Linked DNA regions of Drosophila melanogaster. The protein of the gene in region 1 interacts with the protein of each later gene in a pairwise test. Each region holds a gene or a part of one and is shown in the gene's direction. Other genes may lie near its edges.

Region 1 (7,719 bases):
TCCTCTTACGCACCCGACACACTACTGCACCAGGAGAGCGGTCAGGTGCTGGGCACGCTGCTGCTCTCGCCCATCAAAGAGATGGATAGCTCATCGTCCAATAACACTCTGATTCCAGGTCATCCGGCTACCGCAGCTTTGGCAGCCAGCATGAAGGAGGGATTCACGCCGAGCAGTAAGTGGAAATATCCAAGATCTAGAAGTTTTTAATGCCTCTGAATAGTTAATGATGAGTTCAATACATACTCTTAAGAGGATATTAAAAGCTTAATGGATTAAATATTTATATTCTTTTCTCACTTATTGTTTCCTCTGATAACCTGCAGGTATTCCAGCTGCCACAAACATCACCACTCTGTCGTTCCCCTTCAGCGTGACCAGCACCGGTGGGGAAACGATGCCCACTGGGACACTGAGCATCCTGCCCATTTCGGCGAATGCCCAGCTGCCCACGATAACGACGACGGCAAGTGGCTACGATCCTAACGATGTGATCACCACGATACCGGTGTCCTTGTCCATCCAGCGATCGCCGTCAGCACTTTCCATTGTGGAGCTGACCGGTGCAGATGTCCAGGATGGATATAGCAACAGTGGGTCGAGCAATGGCAATGGCGGTATCACCACTACGGCACTGCTGTCCGTTAAGCCCCTCAATGGAAACCAGAACATTTCGCGAAACAACAGTTTCAACCTGAGCCTCAATCTGCAGGATCCGCAGCAACGATCCTCGATGAGGTCAGCGGGTCCCACGGGCACAGTGGACAACTCAGGCACGATGCCAATTCCTCAGAGGAGCGGAGGCCTGGAAACGGGCGAAGTCGGAGGATCCTCGGCCCCCTCAACTCTGGCCAAACACAAGCCGGAACAAAAGACCGGAGAGGTGTACGTCTGACATTATTATCAGTCGGATTAGATTAGTTAAGACTTGATCGGAATTCGAGCCACGTAATTAGGTTTAAGATGCAATGGCATTGTGCCACCCAGAACCACTAAAAATGATATTATTAGTAGCCTGAAAAAGAAAGATTATTGCAAGGATTTTATCCTCGAAGTCAAGTAATCACTTTTTTATTAGCAATTCAAGCAGCAGATCAGATAGTCTCATATCGAGTTTAACTTAAATTCAATTTAAATGTTTAACTAAAATTTAATAATTCCAATTTCTTCAAACCCTTTTTACTTCATAAGACCAGCTCAAGAAAATTCTAGTAAATATTGAACAAATATTACGAAACGCGTGGAACTGCGAATAGCATTGTATATAACTATCTTAGTTAATAGGAAATTGACTTATTGTTTTGGCACTTGCCATATAAGCTAAGCGTTTGAATCTTTGAATAACTTTTTAATGAATCTCTATCTCGTGTAGGCAGTGTAAATACTTGTAAACCAACACAGTATGTGATATGCGATTGTTATCCAGCTAGATTTTGTATCTTTACAAGTACAGATAAATAAGTGCCTAAGTTTGTATGCTGTAATTATAATCCGCTGCATGTGAATGTAGAAAATGTATGCAAATGTGTCCTTTGTACAGATGAAGAAATCACTTCTTATAGTTATACCTTGAAATAAAATCCATCACTTAGCAAAGCAGACTTCAATCTATCTTTTTTGTTTATATAAGAGACAGTGCGGAGTATTTGACGACATTTCCCACTGACACTCTTTCCTTGATCAATCAAGTCTCTTCGAACCTACCCCAAGAGAAAGGTCAATTAGAATTTGAACCCGAACGGTGCGATATATGTACGCAGCAAATTTAAATGGATGCTCATGGAAGATGGGAAGTCAGTCGCGCTTGGGCGCTCAAGCGGTTACAATCTGCGGACAATATTTAACTTTTATCTGAAGCAAGTGCGAATAATTGAAGGATCTATCAAAAAGTGGCAATTAAAAGGTGAATATACCGCAAAAAATATGCAAAGGAACCGATTTTAGACTGCAGAAGAAGAATGTAAATAGTTGCTCTTCAATTTGTGAAGGAATGTGTCCAATAATATATGTTCTATTACTCGTTAACCTCGCGGGTCAATCACAACTATGTGGCCAAAGAAACAAACTTGCATGCGAACGCAGAGTGTTACTTAATTAAATTAACCTTTTGTCTGGTCTGGTTCGAACTTGTGGCCGCTTTGAGTGAAGAAATATTGACCACGGATCGATGGCGTATTGTTTAATAAAGCCCATTTAATTGTCATTTCGTCAGTGCCGACTAAACATCACCATGGAGCGAGATGAGGTGTCCACCTCGAGCAGCGAGGGCAAATCACAGGAGGAGGCGCCCATGGCGGAGGGTTTGGAGCCCACAGAGCCTATTGCATTCCTGAAACTTTTTCGATTCTCCACCTACGGGGAGATTGGCTGGCTGTTCTTCGGCTTCATAATGTGCTGCATTAAGGCACTGACCCTTCCTGCCGTGGTCATTATCTACAGTGAGTTCACGTCCATGTTGGTGGACCGCGCCATGCAGTTTGGCACCAGTTCAAATGTTCATGCCCTGCCACTTTTCGGAGGTGGTAAAACACTGTAAGTACTCACAAAAGTAAATATGATCATAAGAAAACTGTAGAAGGGGAACTGTTTGGAAAATCATGACTTTATAATATATCACTCATACGCAGGGTGGGCCAATAAAAAAGTAAGTTCATTGACCAATTGATTTATTATCAATTACGCCATTACATAAAAGCTTCTTGAAAAATGTACTAAAAAAGAATTTTTGATTTAATTTTAAAAATATAGGGTTATTAAATTACGTTATTTATAATCATACTTTTTTTACTAATTTAATAAACTTCCAGAACAAATGCCTCTCGGGAGGAAAACAATGAAGCCTTATACGATGATTCCATATCGTATGGAATTCTTCTGACCATTGCATCCGTGGTGATGTTCATCTCAGGAATTTTCTCTGTGGATGTCTTCAATATGGTGGCGCTGCGTCAGGTCACAAGGATGCGAATAAAACTGTTTTCATCCGTGATTCGTCAAGACATCGGTTGGCATGATCTGGCCAGCAAGCAAAACTTTACCCAAAGCATGGTGGAGTAAGTATTTAAGAAGGATATAGCGATGATACTATCTAAATCTTGTTTTCAGCGACGTGGAAAAGATTCGAGATGGCATCTCAGAGAAAGTTGGTCACTTTGTATACCTTGTAGTTGGATTTATCATAACTGTGGCCATTTCATTTAGCTACGGCTGGAAACTTACCTTAGCTGTGAGCTCTTATATACCTCTGGTGATCTTATTAAATTATTACGTAGCTAAGGTAAGAAAAGGGATATATATACCGGATGAATAATTTAGAGTTTATAACTATCTTTTTTAGTTTCAAGGCAAGCTGACTGCCCGAGAACAAGAATCCTATGCGGGAGCTGGAAATTTGGCAGAGGAAATTCTGAGTTCCATACGCACTGTGGTCTCGTTTGGTGGAGAAAAATCAGAGGTGCAGCGCTATGAGAATTTCTTGGTCCCAGCTCGAAAGGCAAGTCAATGGAAAGGAGCCTTCTCGGGGCTCAGCGATGCGGTTTTGAAGTCCATGTTGTATCTGTCATGCGCCGGAGCATTTTGGTATGGTGTCAATCTTATTATCGATGATCGAAATGTGGAAAACAAGGAGTATACACCGGCTATTCTGATGATTGTAAGCTATAAAAGGGAATAATATTATTATAAAAATATTATAGTTGGCAATTTTTCCAGGCCTTCTTTGGTATCATTGTTGGTGCGGACAACATAGCCAGAACAGCTCCTTTCCTGGAGTCTTTTGCCACCGCACGCGGCTGTGCCACCAACCTCTTCAAGGTCATCGATCTGACATCCAAGATCGATCCCCTATCTACAGACGGTAAACTTTTGAACTACGGCCTACGTGGTGATGTGGAGTTCCAGGATGTCTTCTTTCGATATCCCTCTCGTCCGGAGGTGATTGTACACAGGGGCCTAAACATTAGGATTAGAGCTGGTCAAACAGTGGCCTTGGTTGGTTCTTCTGGCTGTGGAAAGTCCACCTGTGTCCAATTGCTGCAGAGGTTCTACGATCCTGTGTTTGGATCAGTTCTTTTGGATGATTTGGACATAAGAAAGTACAATATCCAATGGTTGAGATCGAATATTGCCGTTGTGGGTCAGGAACCAGTGCTATTTTTGGGCACAATAGGTATGTGCATACAAACCCAAAATTATAAAGCTTATAATAATATTTCTTTAACAGCTCAAAACATTAGCTATGGTAAGCCAGGAGCCACGCAAAAAGAGATCGAAGCAGCTGCCACTCAGGCGGGTGCACATGAATTCATTACCAATCTGCCAGAGGTTAGATACAAGATTAGATAGAAAAGATCTCTAAGCAAAAAAAAATAATTCCCCATCTAAAATTTATAGAGTTATCGCAGTATGATTGGAGAGCGGGGATCCCAGCTCTCTGGAGGTCAGAAACAACGCATAGCCATCGCTCGAGCCCTTATCCAGAATCCGAAGATCCTGCTGCTGGATGAAGCCACCTCTGCACTGGATTACCAATCCGAGAAACAGGTTCAACAGGCCTTGGACTTGGCCAGTAAAGGTCGTACAACCATTGTGGTCTCTCATCGATTGTCAGCTATTCGAGGTGCAGATAAGATTGTCTTTATTCATGATGGTAAGGTTCTGGAGGAAGGTTCCCATGATGATTTAATGGCGCTGGAAGGTGCATACTACAACATGGTTCGTGCCGGCGATATCAACATGCCCGATGAGGTAGAAAAAGAGGACAGCATTGAGGACACCAAACGTAATTAATACTTGTTTAAAGTAATTAAAGCGAATTAAATTTTTAATACTTTTTAGAAAAAAGCCTGGCTCTGTTTGAGAAATCCTTTGAGACGAGTCCATTAAACTTCGAGAAAGGTCAAAAGAACAGTGTCCAGTTTGAGGAACCTATAATAAAGGCACTCATCAAGGATACAAATGCCCAGTCAGCTGAGGCTCCGCCGGAGAAACCGAACTTCTTCCGCACTTTCTCTAGGATCCTTCAGCTTGCCAAACAGGAATGGTGCTACCTGATTCTTGGAACTATAAGTGCTGTAGCAGTGGGATTTTTGTATCCAGCTTTCGCGGTCATCTTCGGAGAATTCTATGCTGCTTTGGCTGAAAAGGATCCGGAGGACGCACTGCGTCGTACTGCTGTTCTATCCTGGGCCTGCTTGGGCCTGGCATTCTTGACCGGATTGGTTTGCTTCCTTCAGACCTATTTGTTTAACTACGCGGGCATTTGGCTTACCACCAGAATGCGAGCCATGACCTTCAATGCGATGGTGAATCAGGAAGTTGGATGGTTCGACGACGAGAATAACTCGGTGGGAGCTCTATCCGCTCGCTTATCCGGCGAGGCAGTTGATATCCAAGGAGCCATAGGATATCCCTTGAGTGGCATGATTCAAGCGTTGTCCAACTTCATTTCAAGTGTCAGCGTAGCCATGTACTACAACTGGAAGTTGGCCCTTTTATGTTTGGCCAATTGTCCCATTATAGTGGGATCTGTAATCCTAGAAGCTAAGTGAGTTAAAATGTTAGAGATTATACTTCTTTTTCTTACGACTACGATTATTTCAGGATGATGTCTAACGCTGTAGTGAGGGAAAAGCAGGTGATTGAGGAAGCCTGTCGCATTGCCACCGAATCCATTACCAACATACGCACTGTTGCCGGTCTGCGAAGGGAGGCGGATGTTATCCGGGAGTACACAGAGGAGATCCAGCGGGTGGAGGTGCTCATCCGCCAGAAGCTTAGATGGCGAGGAGTCCTCAACTCCACCATGCAGGCATCAGCTTTCTTCGCGTATGCAGTGGCTCTTTGTTACGGAGGTGTTTTGGTGTCCGAGGGTCAGCTGCCATTCCAAGATATTATCAAGTATGGAAATCCATATAGAATTCAATCTTGAAGCAATTAACCATTTTAAATAATATTTGTAGGGTATCAGAAACATTGCTGTATGGTTCCATGATGCTCGCTCAATCTCTAGCCTTTACGCCGGCCTTCTCCGCCGCTCTGATCGCGGGTCATCGCCTATTCCAAATACTGGATCGCAAGCCAAAGATTCAGTCACCCATGGGCACCATTAAAAATACTCTCGCCAAGCAATTAAATCTTTTCGAGGGTGTGCGCTATCGAGGTATTCAATTCCGGTACCCTACACGACCTGATGCAAAGATTCTGAATGGCTTGGATCTTGAGGTGCTCAAGGGTCAAACGGTGGCCTTGGTGGGTCATTCCGGGTGTGGAAAATCCACTTGCGTTCAGCTACTTCAGCGTTACTATGATCCCGATGAGGGCACTATTGTAAGCCATTAAACAAATATTGCCGCTATGTATATCAAACGTAATCCACTCTTCATACAGCATATAGATCACGATGATATCCAACACGATCTGACCCTCGATGGAGTAAGGACCAAATTGGGCATAGTCTCTCAAGAACCCACTCTCTTCGAGCGCTCTATAGCCGAAAATATAGCCTATGGCGACAATCGGCGATCTGTTTCCATGGTGGAGATTATTGCAGCAGCCAAGAGTGCCAATGCTCATAGTTTTATCATTTCTCTACCAAATGGCTATGATACTCGGATGGGAGCCAGAGGTACTCAGCTATCTGGTGGACAGAAACAGCGAATCGCCATTGCCAGAGCGCTGGTGAGGAATCCCAAGATCCTGCTACTCGACGAAGCCACCTCAGCTTTGGACTTGCAAAGCGAACAGTTGGTCCAACAGGCCTTGGATACCGCCTGCTCGGGACGCACCTGTATTGTCATAGCCCATCGATTGTCAACTGTCCAGAATGCCGATGTGATCTGTGTGATTCAAAATGGTCAGGTGGTGGAGCAGGGTAACCACATGCAGTTGATTTCACAGGGCGGCATTTACGCCAAGCTACACAAGACCCAAAAGGATCATTGAATATTATCTAAACATTTATATAAATCTCACCAAAAGCCAAAATACACTTGCCACCAAAAACTAAATAAACTCCATCAACTTTTTATCCATTAAAGACTTGTTTATAAATAATGGGCGGAGATGAGTTTTAGGTAACTCTGTTTGCAATGTGTATAATTATTAGGGCTATAAGTTGTAAGATCCACCATCAAACTTATCTAACTGATAAGAGTGCAATCTTTGCGGCATGTCTATAACGCCAAGCACCCACACGACTGTTGTTTGTATTCATTGTCAATGGCATGCAAACTTGATTTGCCGTTGTGAAATGATAACAGTTCGCAATTAAACAGGGAAGATCATAAGTTTAACTGCCTGGAATGCAAATTACGCCAAATTTCAGTACTCAGTTGACCCATTTCCGCGATAGATGGGTGCACACCTTGCCAAGAGGTAAGATGGTCTACGATTTTCCACCAGTCATCGTGAACCTTGAGAAAAATCAATTCAATTGATATTAATAAAAAAGACCATAAAGGGGTTCGCTTCTCTAATAGAAACCGAATTTGTCGAAAACTGACGCCATAGCCGCCAGAACCGTCAGTCGCTTTCTACAGTCCCAACGGAACAGACGTGGAACATTTTGCTCCGGATAGCAATAGCATCGCAAGAAAGAAAGAAAAAAGCTGGCTGTAGTAGCCAACGATTTTGTATTTGTGAAAACGCGGAATGCAAAACAATTAAAGCTAAACACGATCCCAGGCAGATCAGCCTCATCGGCAGTGCATCTGGCGTAGC
Region 2 (7,792 bases), 6.1 Mb from region 1:
ACAAAAGGCACGCGCATAATATCCATACATACATGCATATGTATGTGTAGTTTGTGCCCTCTGACCCCCATTGTTCAGTCAATTCAACCGGATCCCTCGCAAATGGCCCCAATATCGGAATGCCGTCGGAAACACAGTGACCCAAATTAATCTTTGTCATTAGCAGGGCCCAACTGCAAGTGTCGAGTGGTATGCGATCTAAAGGCCCCTCACAGGCGATGACATCGGGATTTCGGGATGGATGGAGGAATAGATGGATGGATGCAGGGATGGAGGCGGTGGTGCCTCCAAAACCGCCGCCCTTGAGTTTCCATGTCTAGGCTCTGCGTAGACAAAGTGCCAAAAGTTTGGAAGCCTTTGCGAGATGAAGCTGAAGGGAGGAGAGAGAAATGTATATGAAAATTTCAAAATCACAACATCACAACAGAACTGCAACAATTACTCATCATCATCAGCTACAAATATAGATTTCTTAGAATATTGTTCAATAAATATTATTTATAAGATTTAACATAATACACATAGATATCGTTTAAGGTGCCAACTAAAAATATATAAGGTTAACAGTTAGTAAATGAACAAATTAAACAAAATAACAATTATTAATAATTACAAAATAAATTATTATGAATTACACAATACAGTTTAAATGATCTTACAATTTTTTATAAAAATGTATTTTTAAATCTTGCATTACTTAGCAATTGTTTTTGGCACTTAGTTAAACAAATGCCAACATTTATTGTCACTCCTTTATTAAGAAATTACATGTTTCCTACCTGATATAAAAGAAGCACAACAAAAGAAGTACCCATCGCAAAATCCCCCAGGATCAAGCATTTAATGTAGCTCCATTGTCCTTTAAATTCCCTGCACATCCCCGTGCTCCGTGTACTGATTATGAATCGCAAAGATTACCGCACATAACTATTATCATCGTCGGAGTTGGGAAAAGTGGGCTGGGAAAGCGAAAGATGGCTGGTTGGTTGCCAGTTAAATGGTTCGCCCGCACACTAATTGTGAGTAACACGTTCGCGTTTACGAAACTTTTCTGGGAATTTTCGTCGGAAAAGAGGCCAAGAGCCAGGAGTTTCGACCAGACAAGTCCTCATCTCGGCAACTGGGTACTGGGAACTCTGAACTGGAAGCTAGACATACAGTCAGCCGGCAAAGTGCTTAGACATTAAAGTTTTTGGCGCCCCGGTTTAATAGACCAGAAAATTCATTTTGGCCAGGTTTAAAGGGCCACCGGCCACCCTCATTAACAGCTAGCTCTTTGAGCAAAATTCTCCTGGACACTGGGCCGCAAACCTTAATTAAAGCAGCGGGACTGGTCTTTAAGCTTAGTCCTTTTTATAGCGTTCGAAAATCAATAAATTTAAAATGTACAAGCCACTGCGGGAAAAGGGAATAAAATCCTAGCCAGCTCACAAACACACACACACACGGTAAAAATAAAAATAAGAAAAGAAGGACAACAAAATTCCAGCCATTGAGGGAGAGTCCTGTTTTTTTTTGGGGGGGCGGGGATGTTGTTGCTGAGGCGACAAAGCAAGCAAGAAATCGCCGAGCCAAACATCCTTTTGTCAATACAAAATACGTACGTACAACAAAACAAATAAATGTGCCCACGAGCAAAGACAAAGACAAAAGTCAAAAGTGCAAAATGAAAAATCAAACAACAACAACAACAACAAAACCAGCAAAACACAAAAAGCCAAAACAACTCAGAAGCGCCACCCGGATTCAAAATCGGCATTAAAACGCATGAGATGAGATGAGATGGTATGATATGGGGGTTCCGATCGACGCATGCGCCAAAAGCTGGCGAATCTCACGGAAGCTGGGGAAAGGCAAATGGCTGGCTCTCAATGGCTTGCACGGGGATGGAGCCAAAAAGGATATGGGAGCACAGGATGTGCCATAAAATGGCGCACACGCACACACACACAAAGGCAAACAGTGGGCACTTCTCCTTCGGGTTGGAGAGAATTTCCTATCTCGGCAGCAGATGCTTGTGCATTTGGCCAAAGAAGAGCAAATGATTTTTAACAAATTTCATTAACATCAGAGGTCCGTAATCATTCAAGCATCGCGTTTCGTAACAGGGCCAGGTCAGAAGTCCGATACTGGCCGCCCCAAAACAACAGTTGCCAACTGCATTTCGAGTCCCCAAATGTGTCCTTAGGCGTCCTGAAAGCTGTGCTCACAAAATGTGCAAAGATACGTAGGAAAATCGCGTGAAAAGCCCTGAGAAAATTTCATAAATGTCTGTGAACGTGATTATATAGTTTTTCTATTCCCGAACTGAACGATTCCAAAATGATCGACGAACACCATCCCATGCAGATCGGAATGTGTAAGTATGGGCAAACCCGAGGAATATGAAGTCTGAATCTATTCCAATAACCGACGGCATTACAAGCCCAACATTCCCAATCCCGTCGGCATTTTTCTATCAGTTTATTAATTATGTTAAAAAGTGCTCATTAATTTATGGTATGTAAATAGCTTCAAGTAGAAGAGTGCATATATTTCATTCACTTTTTCTCTAGTTTAATCATAGTTTAAATATTAGCATCAAGTGATTAGCTCAAATCAAATACCTTTAGATAAGTGAATTAGGAATAAGCCACCATGTATCATGTGTTATATCGGTAATTGTGATATCACAATTGCACACTTTTCAAAGGTATAAAGTGGATTTTCGTTTTGGCCATTAGTGATTTTGATTTATAACAGTCAAAGAGATCAGCACATTTTATACAAATTTTATTCAGTTGAATTGGTTTTAAAAATACTAACTTAATAGCAGCATAAATAAGTTTTGCACATGAAATTATTAGAAACCAAAGATGAATTATTTGTGAAAATTTGCCATTTTCTTGCTAAATTCTACTTCGCACAAAGCAAATCCCAAGTTTAAACATTGCATCTCAACACTTTTGCTTCAATTTGCCTTCAGTGAATGCTATTTAGCACCCAGAGTGGCAAGTATGCATATGACCGACTGCACACACGTCCACTCGAATCCGACTGGCTGAAAGCCAATGAAAATTACAACATATTTTCCAGAGCAAAGCAAATTTTGACTTCTGTCAGAGATTAGGACAAAACAAAGCATTTGCGCTGCGATTGCTGGCACAACAAAACGGCAATGGCACCATAACTCTATTGTCTACTCAAATCCGATTAAATAAAGCGCTGTCAGTTGCTGCCGAGCGAACTGCTGGCAACTGACAGCGGATTCGGAGGCAGCACACAGCATCCTGGCAGCGCAGCCGACATCCTGGCAAGCATTTCCAAGGGTTTCCGCTTACCCACTCACTGTCGTCGACTGCCAACATATGCCGCCAGCAGCCAGCCGCCAGCCGCCGTAACCGAAATCCTGATCCCCTCCAGCCTCATCCTCATGCTTATTTGCTAAGCCCGAGCATATTTTCCGTAAGGGTGGAAATCCGCCAGCTAAATGCCCTCGGTTAGCCCCCGGATTCATTGAAATTCGTTTATAATCTACATAGTTATGAGCACTGCAAGGGGTGGCATTTGCAACCCGTCCCTCGATTTCCACTGCACATTAGAATCTAATTAGAGCGTGGGCAAGTGGAAGTGCTATCAATGTCGGCTTTACACTTGTCGTCCCAAAATCCTCGAGCTCTATTCTCCGACATGTCCGGCAAACATGTTGGTATATTTTCAAATGTCAAATGGCAATGACAGAGCACTAAAAGTGTAACAGGTGTGGTTGTTGAGCGGATTATTCCGCTGCACATCTTAGGAAATAGCTTCCCGCAGTTCCAAGTGTCACAAGTTAATGGGTATCGGGAATGGGGAGATCAGGACCTTGGAAATTGGGTTAAACACTGCTGGAGACTTCAGTTGCTATGAATAAGTAGCATATTGAAAAGTTTATAAAGCCAAAATACACCCAACGAACATAGCACACATGTCAGCAATATTTTGTTACACATAAATGAAGTTTAATTCATTATTAAATATATAAAAAGAATTGTATATAAAGGTGAAAACTCAAAAAATGCTTTAAAAAAATATATATAATGCTAATGCCAAAAGTTACAAAATAATTCAAAGAACAAGTTTTCAGCTTAATTTCTAAATGTTTTTAGATAGAGCAAAGCTAAATTGTTTCTGCAGGTTTTATATTGCGGTGGTTTTGTATAAATCAACCAAAAACTATATTGAATTTCATTTAGAGTACTGAAGTCACAAAAATATTTGCTGACTATTTTACAAATCGCTTAATTGGTTGACAAAACACTATTTGATTCCCATTTTCCCAGCTATTTTTCTGCATAGTTTTTCTATATCCAAATGGCAATTAAATGCAGTCCAATTAAATGTACTGAGAGCTGCAATCGACTATTTTCGCATTTATTTGTCATTTGGCAGAACAAACTGAGTGCAAGCTGGTCTAGAGCAATTCACGTCAATCAGTGCAAGAGGTGTAGCAAAAATTGTTAATGTAAACGATGGCTGGAATACTTTAACATTCTGGGCATATTTCTGGCATAAATTGGCATACCAGATATTATTTTTGCAAAACATTTAATGAAATTACGCACACATTTAAATCACTCAAATGCGGAATGACAAACACACACGCATGTGAAACGCACACCAGTGAAAACAAGGGAAAAACCAAACAAAATGAACGTCACACACACACAGAGGAGCACAAAAGCTGGAAGCTCGAAACAAATTACGTTGAAATTTCAACAATTTGCCATAAATTGAGACAACAAGGCACAAAAAGCCAACCAGTCAGCACCGCAAATGTACAGTAATTTTTTGCCACCAAGCCAAACAATCGCACATACGCATCGGTTACGCATACGCCACGTTGGTCGTATTTTTTACATGCCACATTTCGCATGGCATTTCGGGGAATTTCGAGTGCAGTCGCACTCACACTCGCACATTTACTCACACTCTTTCCGTTGGTGGAAAAGTCATTTCAATAATTGCAAAACCACAAATTTACTACAACTCGAAACGGTTATGGTCACAGTGCGAGGCAGATGGACATTGGTCCTGCCCGCAAAAACGGGAACCCTTTTTATGCCTGATGACCGAACCATAGTTGTAAATTGAGGGCGCTCTTGGCCACATTGAAAATAAAAATAACTGAAATGTTTCTCATTTGCATGTTCCTTTGGGGCGGTGGGCTGATCTGGACCAACGACACGACCGCAAAACCAAAATAGTTCCGATGGACATAAAATGTCAACAGCAGCAACTGGGTGCTGGCCAACTGCCGCAAACTGGGGGCCTCAATCAACTGCTGCTGTTGAACGGAAATGAACGCATGTTAACAACACCAACGACAGCAGCAACATCGGTGGTGGTGGCAGCCGGAAGGAGTGCGAGTACCAAAGCCGGAGTAGCCCACAATGACAAAATGGCGTCAGTCAGCAGAACTGTCAACGGAAGTTGCAGTAACCACAACAGCAGCAACAGCAGCAGCAGTAGCAGCACCAACAGCAGCAGCAACATGGCCATAAACAAGCAACCGATGGGCATGGGACCGGGCACAGGAACCGGAATGGGAACAGGAACAGGACATGGTCCAGGACCACCCAACCATACACACTGCAACCGCATCACTTTGGGCGAGTGCAGCCTCAATGGAATGGACGGCTTTGCAACGCCGGCAGCACCTCCATCGGCATCCAACACACCGCAAGCGCCTCTGGGAATGGCCTCCAATTCCGGCATGGGCATGGAACTGGGCCTGGCCATGGCATCGCCGCAGCTGAGCCAGTGCGCCCACTGCTGCCAGCCCATTTGCGATCGCTACATCATGCGCGTGGTGGAGAACTCCTTCCACGAGGGCTGCCTCAAGTGCACCGCCTGCTCGCTGCACCTGGTCCACTCCTGTTATGCGAGGGAGGGCAAACTCTACTGCCGCGTCGACTACGAGAGGTGAGTCCTGATTACTGAACCCTGCCAAACGGGGGGCGCTTAAAACAATCAACTCCGTGTGAGTTGCACTTACTTTAAAATGGTAGTGTTTATTAAATGGTACAGCTTAATATTTGAATGATATGATATATATTTATATTTTCGCTCCACAGACTCTACATCCGCAATCATTGCCTTGGCTGTGGCCTTAAAATCGCCGCCGATGAGCTGGTGATGCGATGCCACGAGAACGTCTTCCATCTAAAGTGCTTCGCCTGTGTGGTGTGTGGAGCTCTGCTGAAGAAGGGGGAGCAGTATGTGGTCAAACAGGGGCAGCTCTTCTGCCGCTTCGACTACGAGAAGGAGGTGGAGATGCTACAGGGATACGGTGGGTAATGGCCCTATTCGAAATCGGTTCCCAATGATAACCATATAACTATGTAGATTTCTATGGCGATGAGCTTTTCCCGCCCAAATTAGACGGACGAAGAGGACCCAAGCGACCGAGAACCATTCTAAACACGCAGCAAAGACGAGCTTTTAAGGCCTCCTTCGAAGTCTCACCGAAACCGTGTCGAAAAGTGAGAGAGAATCTGGCCAAGGATACTGGATTAAGCCTGAGAATTGTGCAGGTGCGTAAAGAGGTTTAAATGGAATTTAATCATTACATATTCTATTAAACCAATATCGTATTTTGTAGGTTTGGTTCCAGAACCAGCGAGCCAAGGTCAAAAAGATTCAGAAGAAGGCCAAGCAGGAGCCGCCCAGCAAAGGAGCTAGTGACTCGCAGGACTCGCAGGAATCGCTGGACAGCAGTCTGGCCACCAAAATCAAGGACGAGGCGCACAGCGACAGCGAATCACAGCTGGAATCGCCGTACTCGACGACCTCCGATGGACTGACCCGGATGCGATGCACCATTAAGGACGAACAGGAGCAAGTGCCCTTCAACTGTATGGAGACCAATAAAGGTGGGTTATGCCCTTTAAGGATATTTACGTATCAAGGAATATAAAATACAATTTACAGAGAACTGCAACAAGAACAGCGAGCCCATATTGAACACCATTCTAGGTCTGAGCTACGCCACCTTTCAGCAACTAATGGGTCCCTTTGCCCAGACGCCTATGATCAATCCGATCGACCGACTATATAGTATGCAAAGCTCCTACTTCCGGCCGGAGGAGCTGCAATCCTACGGCGAATGCGGCGTCAAGGACTCCATGGATCACTAGTCCGCCCGGCGAAGGCCGTCGAATTTTAAGCCCAAATCAAAATTAGACCTTGTAAAATAAAAGAATGTTAATGTGCTAGCAATCGAACTTAAACACCCCGAACCCGGATAAGTGGATTTACTGCCCTTCCACCCCCCTTGGAAGCTGGACCACTTGCGCAATCCACCCACCGGCCGGGTTGGTGGTTGGTGCATCCCATGTTGGTGGCTCTGCAGGTGCAGTCTCGAAATTAGTTCCGCTCGGTTGACAGGCACAAAGCATTTGCCACAGCAGTCGCAACCCTGCTGAATTCGTCCTTTCGGCTCGGAATGGGCGTAAAATGCCGATTCGTCATGCGTAGTTCAAAGGCTCGGATACGAAGGGATCCGGAACCGTATCCTCCCCACGATGACGAGCCGTTTGATAGCGTCGACATGAATGTGCTGCAAATGCCGCCCAAGGACAGCACTTTTAACTAGCATCCTGGCCTTTCGTTTTGCTTGAGCGGAAGAACTGCATCGGAATGTCCCAAACCCAAAATCTAAGACAAATTGGGTGGTAAATCCTTAAGCTTTCAAAGGCATAGAAAACCAAACTATAAAAAATGCTTTTTAACAAACAACTTTTTTGCCGAAAAACAATATTATATTATATTA
Region 3 (3,238 bases), on another chromosome or scaffold:
CGCTTAACCCTTTTACCATCGTTCTAGTGTCTACTCTGTGCGCATTGCACTTGTTAATCGGGGATAAAAAGTACCCGGTGACACCCACAAACAGCGGGCCATGACTTTCTTTTATAACAAATATATTCATTTCATACTCGTTCGGAGGCAACAAATCGCGTGACATGCTGACAGCGGTACTTGGCCCTCGTGTTGCTGTTGTTTCTGCTGAATTTGTTGAGTGGAGAGTGTAAAACTCAACTATTGTCTTCATTTTTCTTGCAAATCATGCAAGGCAATCTAAAATGTTGACACATTGGCAAACACATATGTGGTTGTATGTTCACGCCGACATGGGCAAATCGGCACATATTTATATATTGTAGTATAGGGGTGAGGAGTACAACGGCAGCCAGGAACATTGTACACAAAAGAGGGTAAGAGAAAAAAAAGAAAGAAAAAAAAAAAATATTTGGCGCCCTTTTTGCCCATGTCACTCAAGTTCAAGGTTTACACGCTGTCGGTTAAGGTTACGCTTTTATGTATTATCGCTGAATTGTCACAAGTCTGCGCTTTGTCTCGCAACGAGCGCTTTGAAAAATTACAATAATTGTTATTTACGCATATCTGAACATGAAATGTGTCAATTGGCAGCCAACGAGCTAGCAAAGCGAACGCAACGCAATGAAAGAACGCAACAACGTGGCGTATGCGTAATGTGTGAAAAGGGACACAAGGTCTGGCACTTTTGTCGGGCGGCAAATGAGTGGTATTGGGTGGTGTTCGGTCGGAATGGCAGTAGTGAGGGTATTTGCGACGAGCATCAGACAAATGCTGTCAAGCCTTCATAATTTGGTTCATAAAGCGATTTAGGTATAAGCTTCGAGAGGGTGTTGTGAGTCCCTGGTCAAGCCACAAAGCCACATTAAATGATTTTTCTCGGTTCGAGTAGGTTAAATAGGTTACATAATCCTAAAAATTCGTTTTAAAATTGCACCTTTCACATAAAACAGCAACATGAAAGTATCGTGTTCGTATTGATTGAGTTATACAATTTTCCCGGCTTTATTTCATATGACTTTTTGCAATCGTGTTTTGACTGCTCCTGAATTTTTTATAAACAAATTTTAATTGCCTCCAATTAAGATACTTAAAAACGAACACCTATCGCATTGAAAATAATGTGCTTGGTTTTTCATTTAAAGTTGGGAAAACATAGCTATAGAAAAAAAGTTCTGCATAATTTAATGTTAATAAATCTATTAGCAGTATCTTTATTTATATTAAAATAAATAACATTAGGGTATCCAATCTTCATTGCATCTGCTGTTTTGAGTTCCTATGATTCTATACCACATTGATTGGCTCGACTAATACGTCACATTTGTTAGAACCTTTTTTTTGTCTTCAGCTCTTGTACTGCTTTTTATTGGCCACCAATTTTTTGCGGGCGTTCTGAATGAAGGCATTAGCATTGGCTTCAATTAGCGAGCTTTAAATTTAAAAACAAACGCCAATGGTGTTGGCATTAAATTCAATCGAAGTACTCACTCTACATATAAATAGGAAACAGCGGCGGCTCTTTGACTGGCAGTTGTGTGGAAATCATTGACGCGGTTTGTCGATTGAATTAAATATAAATATCATATTTTCATCGTTAAATTAAATAATTAAATATGCCATTGCCATTGCAATTGCGATTGCTGTTGCTGCCTCTGGCGATGATTTTGCTGCTGGGCACGCACTTGAGTGGCGCGTCGGCTGTTGACAAGGATGTGGCACCAGTTGGCTATGTAAAAACGGATTTGCTGTCATTGGAGCAGGAAATTGGCGGCGCTGCGGATTCGCAGCGAAATCTGCTTCCGGTTCGTCGAAGGCGTGGCATCTTCTTCAGCGGCAGCATCGGCGGATTGCCGTTCCTCAACTGGGCCAGTGGCTATTCTTGGGCATATCCTGGCTATCCGTACAACTACTATGGCTCACCATCGCCTGGCTATTATGGTTATGGCAGTGGCTACTATCCCGGCTACCTGGGCTATCAGAAAATTATCATCGGTTAATGCAGATTTGTGAGAGAACGAAAAGACAGAGCGAAAAATCGATTAGAGAACCCCTTTTCAATGTGAGATTATAAATAATGGCCAGGAAGGAGCGGCGTCGACCCTTTCGCAGTTTGTTATTTTACTTATTGTTGGTGCTTTTAAATTAATTTGCCGGACACAGGGAAAAAGTTGAGCTAAGTTGAAGAGGTGGGGCGCGTATAAAAAAAAAATGAAGAACATGAAATTGCACAATTTATATTCATTTTGCACAGATTTTGCATAAATCATTTCGCAGCGACCAAAATGAAACGCGTAACATAATTTTTAACCCTTGATAATTTTTTATGACAAGCATTTTCGTTATTTTCCCTCCGTGGGACCACCTTATTTGTTGCTGCTGTTGTTGTTGTGGGGCCGCAGCGAAATGCAAATAAAGCGGATCAAAAGTTTGCTGTTAAAAGAAGATTAATTGCAATTTGGTGGCAAGACCTGAAACATTTCGAACCCCACAACAACCCATCGAAAATCCGCTGCCCAATCGGCGCGGTGGGCAATGGGCGGTTGGTAATTAAATATTTTTAAGCTGTAAATGGTTTCCATTTACGTGATGCTGTTCTTATTTTGTATTTGCAATCAATAAAATTCATTAAACGCACAACAATAACAACCAACCAAAGAAGGGAACCAGCCAAATCAAATAAAATACATTCCTCAACGGTCTTAGTTTCAATTGCCACTCCACCGGCAGTTGTAAATTGTTACTCTATTATAAGTGCTGTCCTGCAGTTGTTGCAGTTTCGCAAGTGGCTATTGTTTATTCATTCAGATTTATAATCATTTTATTGCCGAGGTATGCTCAATTTTTTAATCAATTTACATAATTTATGCCCTTTTTATGAACTTCACTCCCAATGGGATCAGATGAACGCATTCGGTTTGTGAATTGTTGAAGAGAGCGCAGCGGAAAATGTTTCAGTTTTGATAGTTGATCTGCTATAATATTGAATTATCGTTATACAAGCAGTTGTCACGTTGTAAATCATTAAAAATTAATTATCGATTCAACAGGACTGCTGTAACAGCAATGGTGATTTTTGCCTTAACAGTCTCACAAACTCAATGGAAATGCATTTTTATATTGCCTGCTAAATGTTAAAAATGATAGAAGTATTAATTAGTGGGCGAATTGAAATAATTGTATCCATATATAATTATAT

Evidence for each region. The genes of interacting proteins can lie anywhere in the genome.
Region 2: the proteins of Mdr65 (region 1) and CG4328 interact in a two-hybrid assay, tested with the Drosophila melanogaster proteins (one large-scale study listed by BioGRID).
Region 3: the proteins of Mdr65 (region 1) and CG14369 interact in a two-hybrid assay, tested with the Drosophila melanogaster proteins (one large-scale study listed by BioGRID).

The regions. Positions count from the first base shown.
Region 1 is NT_037436.4:6,239,814-6,247,532, reverse strand, and holds Mdr65 (multi drug resistance 65), read left to right. Parts: upstream 1-1,786; 5' UTR 1,787-1,903; intron 1,904-2,212; 5' UTR 2,213-2,230; coding exon 2,231-2,532; intron 2,533-2,807; coding exon 2,808-3,053; intron 3,054-3,105; coding exon 3,106-3,277; intron 3,278-3,337; coding exon 3,338-3,652; intron 3,653-3,711; coding exon 3,712-4,168; intron 4,169-4,222; coding exon 4,223-4,323; intron 4,324-4,392; coding exon 4,393-4,780; intron 4,781-4,836; coding exon 4,837-5,545; intron 5,546-5,601; coding exon 5,602-5,898; intron 5,899-5,960; coding exon 5,961-6,327; intron 6,328-6,387; coding exon 6,388-6,942; 3' UTR 6,943-7,033; downstream 7,034-7,719. Other genes in the region: Best2 (bestrophin 2), read left to right, coding at 1-175, 327-895.
Region 2 is NT_037436.4:12,290,401-12,298,192, reverse strand, and holds CG4328 (uncharacterized protein), read left to right. Parts: upstream 1-2,069; 5' UTR 2,070-2,322; coding exon 2,323-2,359; intron 2,360-5,225; coding exon 5,226-5,943; intron 5,944-6,095; coding exon 6,096-6,310; intron 6,311-6,366; coding exon 6,367-6,554; intron 6,555-6,622; coding exon 6,623-6,893; intron 6,894-6,951; coding exon 6,952-7,157; 3' UTR 7,158-7,237; downstream 7,238-7,792.
Region 3 is NT_033777.3:13,591,077-13,594,314, reverse strand, and holds CG14369 (uncharacterized protein), read left to right. Parts: upstream 1-1,657; 5' UTR 1,658-1,700; coding exon 1,701-2,039; 3' UTR 2,040-2,683; downstream 2,684-3,238.